Anolis sagrei: one gene and its partner. The protein of the gene in region 2 purifies or fractionates together with the protein of the main gene of each other region. This does not show direct contact. Links are inferred from orthologs where the notes say so. Each region holds a gene or a part of one and is shown on either strand. Other genes may lie near its edges. The genes, in order: ANKS6 and NEK7.

What was found.
Region 1: the proteins of NEK7 (region 2) and ANKS6 purify together in Homo sapiens (affinity purification with mass spectrometry; 3 studies listed by BioGRID and IntAct, with this or other methods). This does not show direct contact. The link is inferred for Anolis sagrei from reciprocal best matches to the Homo sapiens genes NEK7 and ANKS6.

Annotation. Positions count from the first base shown.
Region 1 is NC_090024.1:104,440,248-104,450,171, forward strand, and holds the start of ANKS6 (ankyrin repeat and SAM domain-containing protein 6), read right to left. Parts: upstream 4,144-9,924; 5' UTR 4,135-4,143; coding exon 3,809-4,134; intron 1-3,808. Other genes in the region: GALNT12 (polypeptide N-acetylgalactosaminyltransferase 12), read left to right, coding at 9,696-9,924.
Region 2 is NC_090024.1:110,501,170-110,510,292, reverse strand, and holds the start of NEK7 (serine/threonine-protein kinase Nek7), read right to left. Parts: upstream 4,097-9,123; 5' UTR 3,819-4,096; intron 1-3,818. UniProt on the Homo sapiens protein: Protein kinase which plays an important role in mitotic cell cycle progression. Required for microtubule nucleation activity of the centrosome, robust mitotic spindle formation and cytokinesis.

The DNA of each region.
Region 1 (9,924 bases), about 6.1 Mb from region 2:
GCTTTTCCAGTTGTTTCTCTTCAAACCTGCTGTCACCTGGGATTGTGACATTGACAATCCATACTTTGTTTTTTAACAGGATCGTGAGGTCAGGAGTATCGTGCTCCAAAACACTGTCTGTCTGAATTCAGAAGTCCCAGAGTAGATTGATGTGTTCACTTTCTGTAACTTTACTACTATTATTATTTGAAAAACAACAAGATGAGTCCATAGCAAACAAGATCACTCTGCTGGCTGTTGTACTGGATCACACAATATTATTATTATTAGCAGAGGAGCCCCCGATGGCGCAGTGGGTCAAAGCGCTGAGCTGCTGAGCTTGTTGACCGAAAGGTCACAGGTTTGAATCTGAGGAGCGGCGTAAGCTTCCGCTGTCAGCCCCAGCTTCTGCCAACCTAGCAGTTCGAAAACATGCAAATGTGAGTAGATCAATAGGTACTGCTCCGGCAGGAAGGTAATGACGCTCCATGCAGTCATGACCTTGGAGGTGTCTACGGACAATGCCGGCTCTTTGGCTTAGAAATGGAGATGAGCACCATGCCCCAGAGTCAGACATGACTGGACTTCATGTCAGGGGAAAATCTCTACCTTTTTAATTGCAACGCACCCAAATACCTGGGAGTCACTGTGGACCGTGCTCTGACCTACAGGAAGCACTGCCTGAACATCAAACAAAAAGTGGGTGCTAGAAACAATATCATACGAAAGCTGACTGGCACAACCTGGGGATCACAACCAGACACAGTGAAGACATCTGCCCTTGCGCTATGCTACTCTGCTGCTCAGTATGCATGCCCAGTGTGGAACACATCCCACCACACTAAAACAGTGGATGTGGCTCTTAATGAGACATGCCGCATTATCACGGGGTGTCTGCGCACTACACCACTGGAGAAATTACACTGCTTAGCCGGTATTGCACCACCTGACATCTGCTGGGAAGTAGCAGCCAATAGTGAAAGGACCAATGCAGAGACATCTCCAGCTCATCCCTTGTTTGGGTATCAGCCAGCACGTCAATGACTTAAATCAAGAAATAGTTTTCTTAGATCTACAGAGACACTCGCTGGAACACCTCAGCAAGCGAGAGTCCAAAAGTGGCAGGCTCAAACCCAGAACCTCAATCCGTGTGTGATACCAGATGAGAGACTCTCCCCTGGGTACACAGAAGACTGGGCGACTTGGAAGGTGCTGAACAGACTGCGCTCTGGCACCATGAGATGCAGAGCCAACCTTAAGAAATGGGGCTACAAAGTGGAAATCACGACATGCGAGTGTGGAGAAAAAAAGCAAACCACAGACAATGCAATGCAACATGAGCCCTTCTACATGCACAATGGAGGACCTTTTTGCGGCAACACCAGAGGCATTCCAAGTGGCCAGATACTGGTCAAAGGACATTTAATCAACTACCAAGCTTGCAAACTGTGTCTTTTGTATGTTTGTTTGTTTGGTTCTTGTGGGTTTTTTTCGGGCTATATGGCCATGTTCTAGAGCAGAGGTCCTCAAACTTTTTAAACAGAGGGCCAGGTCACAGTCCCTCAAACTGCTAGGGGGGCAGATTATAATTTGAAAAAAAATATGAATTCCTATGCACGCTGCACATACATTATTTGTAGTGTAAAAAACACTTTAAAACAATACAATAATTAAAATGAGGGACAATGTTAACAAATATAAATTTATTCGTATTTCAATGGGAAATGTGGGCCTGCTTTTGGCTGATGAGATAGGATTGTTGTTGTTATGTGCTTTCAAGTCGTTTCAGACTTAGGTTGACCCTAAGTGAGGGCCGGGTAAATGACCTTGGAGGGCCGCATCCGGCCCCCGGGCCTTAGTTTGAGGACCCCTGGTCTAGAGGCATTTTCTCCTAACGTTTCTCCTGCATCTATGGCAAGCATCTTCAGAGGTAGTGAACTCACTACCTCTGAAGATGCTTGCCATAGATGCAGGCGAAACGTTAGGAGAAAATGCCTCTAGAACAGCATTTCTCAACCTGGGGGTTGGGACCCCTGGAGGGGTCGCAAGGGGGTGTCAGAGGGGTCGCCAAAGACACAGTATTTTCTGTTAGTCATGGGGGTTCTGTGTTGGAAGTTTGGCCCAATTCTAACCTCGGTGGGGTTCAGGATGCTCTTTGATTGTAGGTGAACTATAAATCCCAGTAACTACAACTCCCAATGTCAAGGTCTATTTTTCCCCAAACTCCAGCAGAGTTCACATTTGGGCATATTGATTTTCATGTCAAATTTGGTCCAGATTCATTATTGTTTGAATCCACAGTGCTCTCTGGATGTAGGTGAACTACAACTCCAAAACTCAAAGTCAATGCCCATCCCACCCTTCCAGTATTTTCTGTTGGTAATGGGAATTCTGTGTGCCAAGTTTGGTTCAATTCCATCATTGGTGGAGTTTGGAATGCTCTTTGATTGTAGGTGAACTATAAATCCCAGCAACGACAACTCCCAAATGACAAAATCAATCCCCCACCCAACACCACCAGTGTTCAAATTTGGGTGTATCGAGTAATTTTGCCAAATTTGTCATGAAAATAATTTGCTGGTTGGGGGTCACCACAACATGAGGAACTGTCTTAAGGTGTCGCGGCATTAGGAAGGTTGAGAACCACTGCTCTAGAACATGGCCATATAGCCCGAAAAAACCCCACAAGAACCTAGTGATTCCAGCCATGAAAGCCTGTGTTTGTTTGTTCTGTCAAAAATGTAATACGAGACCGCATCACAGTCTACGAACCCACACACTCGCTCCGGTCATCAGGAGAGGCCCTGCTCGTGATCCCACCCGCCTCGCAGGCGCGTTTGGTGGGGACGCGGGACAGGGCTTTCTCTGTGGTGGCCCCCCGCCTCTGGAATGCCCTCCCGAAAGATCTCAGACAGGCCCCCACCTTGGCGGTCTTTAGAAAAAACCTGAAAACCTGGCTATTCCAACGTGCCTTCTCAGATTAGGAATCCCCACTACCAAAGCCCAGAAGCACTTTAGTAGAGTCAAGATCATTCTCAACGCACACCGCACTTATACTTTAATCTTATATCCCTTCGACACTTTTTTCAGCACTTTTAACCCTGTACCCCACGCCAGCCGACTAAGTTTTTAATAACGTCTTGTTGTATTGTTATTGCTATTGTTCTTTGCTTTAACTGTGTTTTTTGCTATGTATTGTATTGTGTATTGTGTTGTGCTGGGCTTCGGCCTGATGTAAGCCGCATCGAATCCCTCGGGAGATGCTAGCGGGGTACAAATAAAGTTTAATAATAATAATAATAATACAACTGTTTGGTTGCCTGACACGATAAATTATTAGCAACTCCTAGGAGCTCTAGCCATATTGTTCAATGGTCAGGAATTCTGGGAGCTGGAGTCCCAAACAGCTGGAGTTGTGTAGCTGGAGGAAGCCTGATCTGTGGGTTTCATTCCTTTTCATAGCAGAGAGTCAAGGCCCCTCCACACTGCCATATAACCCTGAATATCAAGGCAGATAAGCTACAGTATCTGCTTTGAACTGGGTTATCTGAGTCCACACTGCCATATAATCCAGTTCAATGTGGATTTTATGCAGATGTGGAAGGGGTCTCAGTGCTCTTCAGGCAGGGATCACGCACCACTTGGTTCAGTGGGAAGCAAATCATTAACCCAGGGCTGAGCTTTTCCCATCGGCCGGCAGAGGGCGCTGTGGGGCCTTCCTTGAAAGGCCTTCCCTTGAAAGCGGGCCTGCTCCTGGGCCAAGGAGAGATGGGCCGCCCCGTTAGATGGTACCCCTCCCTCCCTCCTTCCTTCCCAGCGCGGTCCTGACCTGGCGGCCTGCATGAGCGGGCTCCACCCGCAGTGGTTGCGGCTCTGCACCGAGGCGCCCCTCCGCAGGAGGAAGCCCACCAGCTCCTCGTGCCCGCCGGCCGCCGCGAACTGCAGCCCCGTGTTGCCGGCCTCGTCGGCGCAGTCCACGGGCACCAAGCCCCCCGCAGGCGCCCCCGCCGCTGCCGCAGAGCCGGCCTCGGCTTCGGCCTCTTCCGCCGGGGTGCCTGGAGCCGGAAGCAGGAGGCGGCGGGCGCTCTCGCAGTCGCCCTGGTCGCAGGCACGGAGCAGCAGCTGGGCCCCCGCAGGCACCCCGCTCTCCCCCATCCGGCCAGCCGCCGTCGTGGCCACGCCTCCCGGGAGGGAAAGATTCGAAAGGGGGCGGGGCTTAGAGCGGGGTGGGCGGGGGCAGGGGCTTGTCGTGGGAGCTCGGCCTGGTCTCCTCTATGGTCCAAGCATGGGCAGATGGACAGTGAGATACATACAGACATACAAACACACGCATGGAGGAAGATAGGTAGATGGATAGAGCAATCTTCTATAATGTATTGTCGAAGGCTTTCATGGCCGGAATCACTGGTTTGTTGTAGGTTTTTTCGGGCTATATGGCCATGGTCTAGAGGCATTCTCTCCTGACGTTTCCCCTGCATCTATGGCAAGCATCCTCAGAGGTAGTAGAGGTCTGTTGGAACTAGGAGAAAGGGTTTATATATCTGTGGAATGACCAGGGTGAGACAAAGGCCTCTTGTCTGCTGGAGCTAGGTGTGAATGTTTCAACTGACCACCTTGATTAGCATTTGATTGCCTGGCAGTGCCTGGAGCAGTCTTTTGTTGAGAGGTGATTAGATGTCCTTGTTTGTTTCCTCTCTGTTGTTGTGCTGTTCTAATTTTAGAGTTTTTTAATACTGGTAGCCGGATTTTGTTCATTTTCATGGTCTCCTCCTTTCTGTTGAAATTGTCCACATGCTTGTGGATTTCAGTGGCTTCTCTGTGTAGATCTTGGACTCATCACTGAGCCTGGAACCCCAGGTTTCGGCGGTGACCAGGGGAGCATTTGCACAGTTAAAGCTCGTGCGCCAGCTGCGTCCTTACCTTGGGAAGTCTGACTTGGCCACGGTAGTCCACGCTCTGATTACATCCCGTTTAGACTACTGCAACGCTTTCTATGTGGGGTTGCCTTTGAAGACGGCTCGGAAGCTCCAACTAGTCCAACGTGCGGCAGCCATGATACTAACAGGAGCGGAGCGCAGGGAGCATACAACTCCTTTGCTGCACCAGCTCACTGGCTGCCGATTTGCTACTGGGCTCAATTCAAAGTGCTGGCGTTGGCCTTTAAAGCCCTAAACGGTTCTGGCCCAAGCTACCTATCCGAACGTATCTCTGCTTATGAACCCACCAGGACTCTAAGATCTTCTGGGGAGACCCTGCTCTCGATCCCGCCTGCATCACAGGCACGGCTGGCGGGGACGAGGGACAGGGCCTTTTCTGTGGTGGCCCCTCGGCTGTGGAACGCCCTTCCCATGGACATTAGATCAGCCCCTTCGTTAATGGTGTTTCGAAGAAACCTAAAAACCTGGCTGTTCGAACAGGCGTTCGGTTAAACAATGCAATGTACACGATGAATATAGGAAACAGAATTATGGAAGACGAATTGGATCACGATTCTAGTTACGAGACGTTAATGTGTTGTTATTGATGTGTCATTTTGTATATTATGCTGTTAATGGTTTTTAAATTTTGTATGCTGTTGGATTGACTTTTGCTCTTGTTGTAAACCGTGTTGAGTCGCCTACAAGGCTGAGAAATTGCGGTATACAAGCAAAGTAAAATAAATAAATAAATAAATAAATAAATAAATAGTCTGACATGGTGGTTGTTGGAGCAGAGCACCTGATGAACCAACCCGGACACAGCATATTATTCAAGAACACAGAAATGCTGGATCACTCCCACAACCATCATAAATAAAAGATAGTAACTTATAGTTTTGCTAAGGACAAGGACACCAGACTGGATAATAAGGGTTGAGCCTTGGTCAATTTGCCAAGACACTAACAACAACAACATGGACCCTTCCCATGTTGGATAGTGTGTATCATTTAATCAAGGTTTTAATGCCCTACTAGCTGTACCCACCTGGGGGGGGGGGGGAGGTCATGTTTGACTTAATTGCTACCAGAGTCACCAGGAGCAGCTCTTCTTGCAGTTGTCTCCTTGTTTCCCTGCCAGACATCTCAACCCCTCCAGGGCTGTCCCTGCCTCCAATTTCCCTGCATTTAAGCACTTTCATGGAAAAAGGGAGGCCAGGATGCCATAGCATTGAGCCATGATGGCACTTAAAAGTGGTGGCAAGCTGCATTCATTCTAAAGATAGCCAAGGTGCCTGATCATTTGTGATATGGGTTCTCTGGGAAATGTTGGCTTGAATTGTTTTTAAATAAGATGATTTGCATAGAGCTGTTTGCATTGGGAAATGTTCAAGGCCCTGAGGGAGAGATCAGATTGAATATGTTTAATGTTAAACCAAGCCTAAAAATGTACTTATTTTAATTTTTTGCTCGAAGGATAAGCAGCCGTTACAGCGTGAAGCAATGTTAATTGGCCTGTCTGTAAAAATGTACTAAGACATTGGTTCAGTAAAAGAAAATAAAGGTTGTGAGAATTGTTAGGTACACATTAGCAACTCAAAGAATTTGGCATGACTTTTCAATACATCTCAGCTGTTGTGACACCATCTGTTTTGCCAACACTAATTTTTAGTTCCATTGCACATCATCTATATAAATACAAATGTAATGTTCGTTTGTAGGATTAACATAACTCAAAAACCACTGGACAAATTGTGGCTAAATTTGGCCACAAGACACCTACTAACCCAAGGAATTACCATCACTAAAAATATTTTGTCATTTGGGAGTTGTAGTTGCTGGGATTTATGATTTACTTACACTCAAAGAACATTCTCAACTCCACCAATGATGGAATTGGCATACAGGACTCCCATGACAAACAGAAAACACTAGAAAGGTTTGGTGGGCATTGACCTTGAGTTTGGGAGTTGTAGTTCCCCTACATCCAGGTACTACCATGGATTCAATCAGTGATGGATCTGGACCAAACTTGGCATGAATATTCCATATGCCCAAATATGAACACAGATGGAGTTTGGGGAAAATAGACCTTGACATTTGGGAGTTGTAGTTACTGGGATTATAGTTTACCTACAATCAAAGAGCATTCTGAACCTCATCAATGACTGAATTGTGGCAAACTTCCCACACAGAACCCGCTTGACCAACAGAAAATACTTAAGGCCATCCAGTCCAACTCCTTTCACCAGGGCAAGAAAACGTAATCAAAGCCCTCCTGACAAAGAGCCATCCAGCCATAGATATAGATAGATATATATGATTGACACACACACAGATATAGTATCATAGATTTGAAAGGGAGCCCTAAAGAAGGACAATTATATGTTGCATGTTCAAGAGTAGGCAAACCAGATAATCTCCACATCCACACTGACAAAGAAACAGCAAGAAATACTATTTACCCACAAGCATAAAGAAATTACAAATATTACAAACCAACACTTTCTCATTACTTCATTTTCCAGATCACCAGACTGGGCCACAGCAATGCGTGGCAGGGGACAGCTAGTAATCTATATCAATAAAAATGTAATATTCGTTTGTGGGATTAATATAACTCAAACACCACTGGACAAATTGACACCAAATTTGGCCACAAGACACCTACTAACCCAAGGAATGACTATCACTCAAAAATATTTTGTCATTTGGGAGGTGTAGTTGCTGGGATTTATAATTTACTTATAATCAAAGAGCATTCTGAACTCCACCAATGATGGAATTGACACACAGGACTCCCATGACCAACAGAAAACACTAGAAAGGTTTGGTGGGCATTGACCTTGAGTTTGGGAGTTGTAGTTCACCTACATCCAGAGAACAGTTTGGACTCAAACAATGATGGATCTGAACCAAACTTGGCACGAATACTCCATATGCCCAAATATGAACACAGATGGAGTTTGGGGAAAATAGACCTTGACATTTGGGAGTTGTAGTTACTGGGATTATAGTTTACCTACAATCAAAGGGCATTCTGAACTTCACCAACGACTGAATTGTGGCAAACTTCCCACACAGAACCCCCATGACCAACAGAAAATATTTACGGCCATCCAGTCCAACTCCCTTCACCAGGGCAAGAAAACGCAATCAAAGCCCTCCTGACAAAGAGCCATCCAGCCATAGATAGGTAGGTAGATAGGTAGGTAGGTTGTGTCAGGAAAGAATTGGCCGTCTGCAAGGACGTTGCCCAGGGGACGCCCGGATGATTTATCATCCTTGTCGGAGGCTTCTCTCATGTCCCCGCATGAGGAGCTGGAGCTGATAGAGGGAGCTTATCCACCTCTCCCCGGATTCGAACCTGCGACCTGTCGGTCTTCAGTCCTGCCAGCACAGGGCTTTAACCCACTGCACCACCGGGGGCTCCTGATAGATAGATATATATGATTGACACACAAACAGATATAGTATCATAGATTTGAAAGGGAGCCCTAAAGAAGAACAATTATATGTTGCATGTTCCAGAGTAGGCAAACCAGACAATCTCCACATCAACACTGACAAAGAAACAACAAGAAATACTTTTAACTCACAAACATCAAGACATTACATGTATTAGAAACCACACTTTCCCATTACTTTATTTTCCAGCTCACGAAACTGGACCACAGCAACGCGTGGCAAGGGATGGCTAGTAGTATATATAAATAGAAATGTAATGTATTGTCGAAGGCTTTCATGGCTGGAATCACTAGGTTCTTGTGGGGTTTTTTTCGGGCTATAGGGCCATGTTCTAGAGGCATTTCTCCTGACGTTTCGCCTGCATTTATGGCAAGCATCCTCAGAGGTACCTCTGAGGATGCTTGCCATAGATGCAGGCGAAACGTCAGGAGAAATGCCTCTAGAACATGGCGCTATAGCCCGAAAAAAACCCACAAGAACCTAGAAATGTAATGTTCGTTTGTGGGATTAACATAACTCAAAAACCACTGGACAAATTGACACCAAATTTGGACAGAATACACCTAACAACCCAGTGAGTGACAATCACTAAAAAAATGATTTTGTCATTTGGGAGTTGTAGTTGCTGGGATTTATAGATTTTATATATAAAGATTACTGGAATTCTTCCCTATCTAATAGGTGTCCAATCCATTACACTATGAGCCCTTCCAGACACGCCCTTTATTCCAGGATCTCATGCCACGTTTTCTGTTTATCTTAGATTATCTGGCAGTACGGACTCATATAAAACCTGGGATCAGATCTTGGAATATAGCGCCTGTCTGGAAGGGCCCTCTCTATGTAATGTGATTTTTGTTCCTTGGTTATAAATGTAATTTCTTAATTGATTCTATCATCAAAACATGGAAAAAGTTTATTAAACTGCAAAAACTAAAAGCCAGGAACAAAAATCGTGTTAGGTAGTGATAATTAGCAGTGCAACTGTATTCCCCCATCAGAACCTGATTTAAAAGAGGGAAATGCAAGCAGGGGAGAGCAATCTTTCAACTACGTTGATATCCGCAAAAGGATCCCAGAGGGGAGAGCAAGCAGGCTTTACAGGCAGCGAGGCACGCGCTCTCCTCTCAGGAGGGGGGCACGCGCTCTGCTCCCACTAGGTTCCTGGCGGAAGTTCTGAAGCAGGCGAGGCGCGCGCGCAGCGATCGCGCGCAGAAGGCAGGCCGGGGGGCGGGGCGAGCACCTTCCTTCCTTTCTTGCTCCGCCCCTTCGGCCCCGCCCCCTCCCGTTCCTGGCCTCGCGGGCCTTGCCTGAGGGGCGCAGGCGCTGGGGATGCGACGGGGCCGGCGCGTGCGTGCCCCTCGCGGGGGAGAGCGCGCGCTAGCAGTGGCCGCGGCCTTGGCGGCGGGGCTGGGGGCGCTGGGCTTGCTGTTGCTGTGGCAACGGGGCCCTCCCGACTCGGAGCCGGGCCCAGGCGGAGGAGGGGGTGGTGGCGCGGCGGTGGCGGCGCCCTCTTCTTCTTCTTCGGTGTTGTCTCATCGTCTCCTCCGCCGGCCCGTGT
Region 2 (9,123 bases):
TGCTTTTTTTGGACAGTTTCTCCCATCAAATCTAGCCAGCATAATAATTGGTGAGGAACAATGGGAACTGCAATCTGAAGGGTCACACTTTGTCTATCCTATCAAATAAAGTATTTTGTTAAGTAGTCCATGTAGTGCTGGACAAGACTGGGTGAGACCCCAAAGACCCCATGCACACGTGTGCACGCACACACACAGTACATCAAAGTCCATAGTTTTCTGCAACTGAAAAGTGCTGCATGGTAGTCTCGGCCTTTTGGCTAAGATCAAGTGTAGTGTGTAGTACAAAGTTTTCTGGAGGAAGGAATGTCAAAAGGGAACAGATCCCAGAGATCAGAACAACTGTTAAGTCACACAGATAGTTATGCAGCACCATCTTGCTCTCTTGCTTGAACATCCAAGTATGGTTCTCTGTAATTACATCTCTCTTTACAACATAGGGGTCTCTATTTCTGATACACAGCAGTTTGATGCTTACTGTTGCTGTTTAATTCTATAGTTTCATCAAATTTATATGCTCCGCATCAGAGATAGCCATCTTGTGGCCTTCTACATACTGTTTGCCAGCAGCTCCCATAATCCTTTATTATTAGCCAAGGCTGATGGGAATTACAACCAACAGCACCTGGAAAACTACAAATTGCCCACCTGTTCTCTATTAAAGGGGATTGTTAATTCCTACCACATTCTGTGGTAGGAACAGTATGCGACAAAGCACATCAAAAAGTTGACTTGTAAAAATCTGCCTGCTTGTTTTGAAAGTGATCACAATTTACCATTTATTTTCATCCGGTGACTAATTTATAAACAAGTTTCAAACACATAGCCAAGTGAGTCAGAGATGTCAGTATCCAAAGGGACCTTGTTGCACCTTTGAGACTACAGCCACTGGGAGAAAGAAGTTGCAGTGCAAAAGCAGATGCTTCTGAGGAAATAGACCTAATAGGCTATCTATACTGCAGAATTATTGCCATTTAACTGGCACCGCTCAAAACTGTAGAACCCCCGGAGTCATGGTTTTTCAAGATCTTTAGCCTTGTTTGTTAAAGAATCCTGGTGCCTCACCAAACCACAAATCCCAGAATTCTGCAGCATTGAGACATGGCAAGTGGGGTCAAACTGCATTGATTCTCCAGTTGAGAATGCACCCCAAAGCTGAAGCCATACTGCAGAATGAAAGCAGTTTGGCACTGCATAAACTGCAATGACTCATGACAATACAAATAAGGGATTTGTGGCTTCATAGGATGTTTATGTCTGTTACCAGAACGAACAAGATGGACCTTTGGCAGTTAAAGGCTGGATCTTCACTGCCTGATATCCCAGGATCTGATCCCAGGTCATATGCTTTGAGCAGGATTATATGAGGCCCCTTGTTGGACCCTTCCACACAGCCATATAACCCACACAGCCATATAACCCAAAATATTAGGTGTATACCGCACCTAATCTCCAAAAACCTATCCATTTCACCTGGTCATGTCCAGCATTTTAAATTCTTTAATCATTACATTTGGCCCGGCCTTAGTTTTTAAATGTGTTGTGGTGTTATTGTCTAATGGTTATTGCTATTGTTTTAATGTTTATTGCTTTGTTTTATGAGTTTATTTATTGTTGTATTTGTTATGCTGTTGTTTTACTGATGTATTGGGCCTTGGCCTCTTGTAAGCCGCACCGAGCCCTTCAGGAGATGTTAGAGGGGTATAAATAAAGGTTTTTTATTATTATTATTATATTATAAATATTATATGTATATACAATATTGTTATTATTAACTTTATTTGTACCCCGCTAGCATCTCCCAAGGAGCCCCCGGTGGTGCAGTGGGTTAAAGCACTGAGCTGCTGAGCTTGTTGATAGAAAGGTCGCAGGTTCGATTCCGGGGAGCGGCGTGAGCTTCCGCTGTCAGCCCTAGCTTCTGCCAACCTAGCAGTTCGAAAACATGCAAATGTGAGTAGATCAATAGGTACCACTCCGGCGGGAAGGTAACGGCGCTCCATGCAGTCATGCCGGCCACATGACCTTGGAGGTGTCTACGGACAACGCTGGCTCTTCGGCTTAGAAATGGAGATGAGCACCACACCCCAAAGTCAGACATGACTGGACTTAATGTCAGGGGACTACCTTTACCTTTACCTTTAGCATCTCCCAAAGGACTGATGCGGTTTACAAAGGCCAAGCCCTCAACAAAACAACAGCATAACAAATACAACTCAAAGCAAAATCAAAAACATAAAGCAATAACAATAGAACAACAAAACATTACACCATAACACAATTAAAACTAGGGCCGGGCCACGTAATGGGTACAGATTAAAAAGTGCTGGGTGTGACAGGTGGTATGTTGGATTTCAGGGCAAGTGCTTCTGGGACATAATGCTGGAGTTTTCCTATTCCAGAAAGGCACATTGGAAAAGCCAGGTCTTCAAGCTCTTCCTAAAGACTGCCAATGTGGGCGCTAGTCTGATTTCTTTGGGGAGGGTGTTCCAAAGTCGGGGGCAACCACAGAAAAGGCCCTGTCCCTCGTCCCCACCAAACGTGCCTGCAACACAGGCAGGATCGCGAGCAGGGCCTCTCCGGATGAACGAAGGGAACGCGTGGGTTCATAAACGGAGATGCGGTCACGCAGGTAGGCAGGTCCCAAACCGTTTAGGGCTTTGTATGTAAGCACCTGCACCTTGAATTGGGATCGGAAGGTAAACGGCAGCCAATGGAGCTCTTTAAACAGGAAGGTTGACCTCTCTCTGTTGTTGTTGTTCATTCGTTCAGTCGTCTCCGACTCTTCGTGACCTCATGGACCAGCCCACGCCAGAGCTCCCTGTTGGCCATCACCACCCCCAACCCCTTCAAGGTCAGTGCAGTCACTTCAAGGATGCCATCCATCCATCTTGCCCTTGGTTGGCCCCTCTTCCTTTTGCCTTCCACTTTCCCCAGCATAATTGTCTTCTCTAGGCTTTGCTGTCTCCTCATGATGTGGCCAAAGTACTTCAACTTTGTCTGTAGTATCTTTCCCTCCAATGAGCAGCCGGGCTTTTTTCCCTGGAGGATGGACTGGTTGGATCTTCTCGCAGTCCAAGGCACTCTCAGAACTTTCCTCCAACACCACAGCTCAAAAGCATCGATCTTCCTTCGCTCAGCCTTCCCTAAGGTCCAGCTCTCACATCCGTAGGTTACTACAGGGAATACCATGGAATAGCACAGGCTATTTTAATTTGTTAAAATTGTTCTTCATTTTAATTATTGTTTTAAAGTGTTTTTTGCACTCAAATAAGATATGTGCAGTATACATAGGAATTCATTCATGTTGTTTTCCAATTATAATCTGGCCTTTCAACAGTTTGAGGAACTGTGACCTCTGTTTAAAGTTTGAGGAGCCCTGATCTAGTTCAAAGCAGAGAATCTGGATTGTATATGGTAGTGTAGAAGGGGCCACAGTGAAAGTGGTGTCAAACTGCAGCCATTCCCCTGTGCAAAGACACCCTAGGGAAGCCTCAAAGGTGCCACAAGATCCCTGGGCATAACTGACAAACAAGGCGCTCGCTCTGAAGGTAAACAGACGCCTGGGCCGAGGAGAAAGGGGCGTGGAAATGGCAGGCGGCGAGGGCTGTTTGTTTCCCCTCAGAGGAGGCGCTTTGGGCCGAGGAGGCGCTCTGGCTCTATTCGGGGATGAGGTCAGCTATCGCTGGCCACACCGCCTTCAGCCACGGCCTGGCCAACTCTCTCCCAATATAGTTTTCCCTTCGAAAGCGCTGAAGTGACGAAGAGCAACGAAGCTACTTGAAAGGAGGCCTCCATTCCCGTTTGGGACGCCTACTTACTCGTGAGGAGGCCCGACGCGCCTCCGCTCTTCTCCTCTCCTCTCTCCTTCCTCCTCCTCCTCAGCCGGCCCTCTTCGCAGGAAGTGCCGGGACTTCCTGCAAAGTGCGGTACGGTTGGGGCGAGAAGGAGGAGGAGGAGGAGGGAGAGAGAGGAAAGAGTCCGCCCCGCCGCTTCATCTCTCTACAGGCCATTTTCCCCTTTTCCCGCCAAAAAAAGAAAGGCCAGCAAGCAGCGCTTTTCAAACATCACAAAAGTTGAGGCCAGTAGGACGCCAATGTCACCCCCGCACTACGTCATAGAGCGCGCTCACGTGACCGGCGGGGAGGGACTCTCAGCCTGGAGTTTGGCAGCTCTTTCACTAGGCCTCCTCCTCCACTTGTGGCCCTGCGCCTGTTTGGGCCTCCATTTCCCACAATTCTTGTCCATTGAGGAAGCTGGCAAAGGCTTCTGGGAATTGGAGGTCCAAGCAGCTGAAGGGCTGCAGGTTGAGGAGGCCTAGTCAAAGTGGTCTTGGGATCCTTTTTGGAGCACCTTGTGGCCCAAAAGGCCACAGACTTGATACAACTTAACTATACAACTGCTGTTATAGAACTCCAGTATGCTGATGACAATGTCGTCTGTGCGCATACAGAAGAAGATCTACAAGCCACTCTCAACACCTTTGCAGAAGCATACACGAAGCTTGGCCTGTCACTGAACATCGAAAAAACCAAAGTGCTGATCCAGCAGTCACCAGCCATCCCCTCTCCAATGCCAGAGATACAGCTTAATGGCCAGATACTGGTCAAAGGACATTTAACCAACTACCAAACTCACAAGATGTGTATTTTTCTGTCTGTTTGCTTTGTTCTGTTAGAAATGTAATATATAATGGACTGGTTGCTCTGACACGACAAATAAATAAATAGCTTAATGGTGTAACATTAGAAAATGCTGACCATTTCCGCTACCTTGGCAGCCACCTCTCCACCAAAGTCAACATCGACGCCGAAATACAACACCGCCTGAGCTCTGCAAGTGCAGCATTTTCCCGAATGAAGCAGAGAGTGTTTGAGGACCGGGACATCCGTAGGGATACCAAGGTGCTTGTCTATAAAGCTATTGTCCTCCCAACCCTGCTATATGCCTGTGAAACGTGGACTGTCTACAGACAGTAGACAGCTCCTGGAACGATTCCATCAGCGCTGCCTCCGGAAAATCCTGCAAATCTCCTGGGAAGACAAGCGGACAAACGTCAGTGTGCTGGAAGAAGCAAAGACCACCAGCATTGAAGCGATGGTCCTCCAACATCAACTCCGCTGGGCCGGCCACGTTGTTCGGATGCCTGACCACCGTCTCCCAAAGCAGTTGCTCTACTCTGAACTTAAGAACGGAAAACGGAACGTTGGTGGACAGGAAAAGAGATTTAAAGATGGGCTCAAAGCCAACCTTAAAAACTCTGGCATAGACACTGAGAACTGGGAAGCCCTGGCCCTTGAGCGCTCCAGCTGGAGGTCAGCTGTGACCAGCAGTGCTGCAGAATTTGAGGAGGCACGAGTGGAGGGTGAAAGAGAGAAACGTGCCAGGAGGAAGGTGCGTCAAGCCAAACCCAAACGGGACCGCCTTCCACCTGGAAACCAATGCCCACACTGCGGAAGAAGATGCAGAGCAAGAATAGGGCTCCACAGCCACATACGGACCCACAAGGAAACCCATGATGGAAGACCATCTTACTCGTCCAACGAGGGATCGCCTAAGTAAGTAACAACTGCCATTTTGGAAAATGGCATTCATAACCTTTTGGAGATCATAACTTTTTGTAGAATTGACATTGGGGAAATGACAACAGAGGACTGGAAAAATACAGCTTTTCAGAGTTGGGTTGCAGTAATTTACCTGTAATAAACAATGCAAAAAACTTGATCCAGGAAAGAATGGGATTCAAGTTGAGATGATCCTACTGTAGTTGTATGTGCTTAATGTACAATTGTTGTTCATTCGTTCAGTCGTCTCCGACTCTTCGTGACCTCACGAACCAGCCCATGCCAGAGCTCCCTGTCGACCGTCACCACCCCCAGCTCATTCAAGGTCAGTCCAGTCACTTCAAGGATGCCATCCATCCATCTTGCCCTTGGTCGGCACCTCTTCCTTTTTCCTTCCACTTTCCCCAGCATAATTGTCTTCTCTAGGCTTTCCTGTCTCCTCATGATGTGGCCAAAGTACTTCAACTTTGTCTCTAGTATCCTTCCCTCCAATGAGCAGTCGGGCTTTATTTCCTGAAGTATGGACTGGTTGGATCTTCTCGCAGTCCAAGGCACTCTCAGAACTTTCCTCCAGCACCACAGTTCAAAAGCATCTATCTTCCTTCGCTCAGCCTTCCCTAAGGTCCAGCTCTCACATCCATAGGTTACTACAGGGAATACCATGGCTTTGACTAGGCGGATCTTTGTTGCCAGTGTGATGTCTCTACTCTTTACTATTTTATCGAGACTGGACATTGCTCTCCTCCCAAGAAGTAAGCATCTTCTGATTTCCTGGGCACAGTCTGCATCTGCAGTAATCTTTGCATCTAGAAATACAAAGTCTGTCACAGCCTCCACATTTTCTCCTTCTATTTTCCAGTTGTCAATCAGTCTTGTTGCCATGATCTTGGTTTTTTTGATGTTTAGCTGCAACCCAGCTTTTGTACTTTCTTCTTTTTATTTATTTATTTGCTATACTTGTATACCGCCGTTTCTCAGCCTAGCCGGCGACTCAACGCGGTTTACAATAACTTATAACAAACAACAGTATACAGTTTAAAAGCATAAAAACACGATCCACAATACATATATATATCATTCGGCCTGCAAGAACAGGAGAGGGTCGGCGTCCTGGCTGCCTCGCCTCCACACTGGTGAGATAAGCAAGCCAGGAAAGGAGGCTTTAAAACCTCTGCCTCCCAGCTGCACCTTACTATCATCCTGCCTGCTTCTTGAGAACTTGAGAACTCAGTGCTTGGAGCTACTCCTGCGAAGTTGCTCCTTCGATATCTATTGGTGTAGCTGCTTCTGGAGAACTCAGTGCTTGGAGCTACTCCTACGAAGTTGCTCCTTTGACATCTATTTGTGTAGCTACTTCTTGAGAACTCAGTGCTGGAGACCGAGAGGAGATAGACAGACAGACCGCTGTTGTTGCCGCTGCTGCGGTCGCCCTTGCCGCAGCGAAATTGCTGCCAGAGTCCATCCCCTCCTCAGAGTGCTGAGGAGGGACGTGTCAGGGCCTGTGCTGTTGCCAAAGCCGCCTCTGAGGCCGCCGCCGCGAGCGCCGCGTGTTCCAGCTGGGCCTTTACCGCCACTCTGCCATCCGATTGGGCCGCGGCAGAGCTGCCCCCGGGAGGGGACAAGCAACCGGGTGAGAGCTGCTGCCGCCATTGCTGCTGACACTGCCACCACCATCATCGTAGCTAAGGCCACGGTGGGAGCCTTCCCCTTCTCAGGGAGCTGTGAAGGGTGAGTAGCCCCCTGCCCGGCCGGTGCTGCTACCGCGGCAATTGACGCGACCCTTCAATAACCCCAGCCGGCGTTTGGCCTCGATTCCATCGGCCGCTAGTGCCTCTGGCCTGGTGTCCTGCAGGGCCTCCGTTGTGGAACTGTTGCTGTGGTCCTTGGCGCGCCTGCCCCGCCAACCCTTCGCGGCCCCAGTTGCTGCCGTTCGACTTGGCGCTTGGTTGGGCCTCCGGCGCATCGATCTCTGGCGCGCCGGTCTCCCGTGTGCTTGCTGCCTGCCGTGGCCCGACGCGTTGGCCCCGGCTCTGCCGGACACTTGGTCGTCCCTTCCTGTCACCCACCCGGTGCTCGGTCATCAGCCCGGCGTTCCGGCTCCGGCCCAACAATTAAGGACGTCCGGCCTGGCGTTCGAGGGAGTTCTTCATTGCGCCGGTTCGCTGATCTGCCGTTTCCCAGCGCCCCAGCTCCTCCATCCCTTTGGGAGTAATCCGCCGCCATTGCTCGAGTTTTTATCATCTCGCCGGGCAACCCACCAAATCCGGAAAACCGTGTGGGCCATCCTTGTTTTGGTTTAATTATTGCCATCTTCCGGCATCTCATTGTCTCCAATTTTGTGGGTTACTAGCATTTATACTATCAGCACCTTAACCTATTACATCAGTGGACTATTATTTTATATGAGCTTTAGCACCTTAATCTTTCTTAACCTTGCTATCTATTTTTGAGTGTGCTAATCATTCTTGACGGTGCCAATTACCTCTGCTTTTATTGACTATTATTGCAGTCTATGTTGACCATCTTAATTTGTGCTGACCGTTCCTGATGGTTGCTAACTAATCTTGATTCCATGACCAGTTGGTTACATCGTGTATTTTATTAATTGTTGTGATCTTGCACTTTATGCCATTAGCACTTTAAACTACTTCTTTGTGCACTTAACCAACTATAGCACTTTAATTCGATTGATACAGCTAGTGTTGAATCAGGCCTCCATGACGCACTTTAGTTAACACCTTGGGTTAATTTAAGCCATCGCATTTATTTGTTGTTCTACTGTGTTGTGCTGAAATAAGTTTCCATCTGTATTTCAACAGCTTAACCCTGCCCTGACTGTGCTTAACAATTACTACTCATGCCACCATCTACTTCTTGGCATCTGTTAATTTGGTTGCTAATTGCATATGTGGGTAAGAAGAAATGGAATAGCACGAGGGAACTCGAATACAGCCTAACAGGACCGAAGACCACTTGGAAGGCAAAGCTATGGCAAACTGAAACTGTAACATGGCATGCAAACCGCAATGATCCTTGGTTTATTATTATAAGCATCAAATGCATCATGGAGGAGGGAGAGGCTTCCGTTAACCGAGGAGCCCCCATAGAAGTCGTGGTGGGGAAGGGGTGATACGGGAAAAGGAGACCTTTAATTCGGCCTAGGGAACGTGGAACAACATTAGTAATCCCAAATCGGTCTCCTGATACGGTAAGTAGGTGTAACCAGGATGGCGGTCCCTCAGGATTGAAAGTGGTGCTGTTGAACGCCAGATCTGTCAATGGTAAAACAACTTTCATCCAGGATTTAATCCTGGATGAACGGGCAGATCTGGCGTGCATCACAGAGACCTGGCTAGACGAAGCTGGAGGTGTAAACTTGACCCAGCTTTGTCCACCCGGGTTCTCTGTGCAGCATCAACCGAGATCCGGAGGGCGGGGAGGCGGGGTTGCAGTAGTCTATAGAGATTCCATTTCTCTGAACAGGACCCCCATCCCGCAGTCAACAAATTTTGAATGCGTCCACCTGAGGGTGGGTGACCGGGACAGATTAGGGATTCTGCTA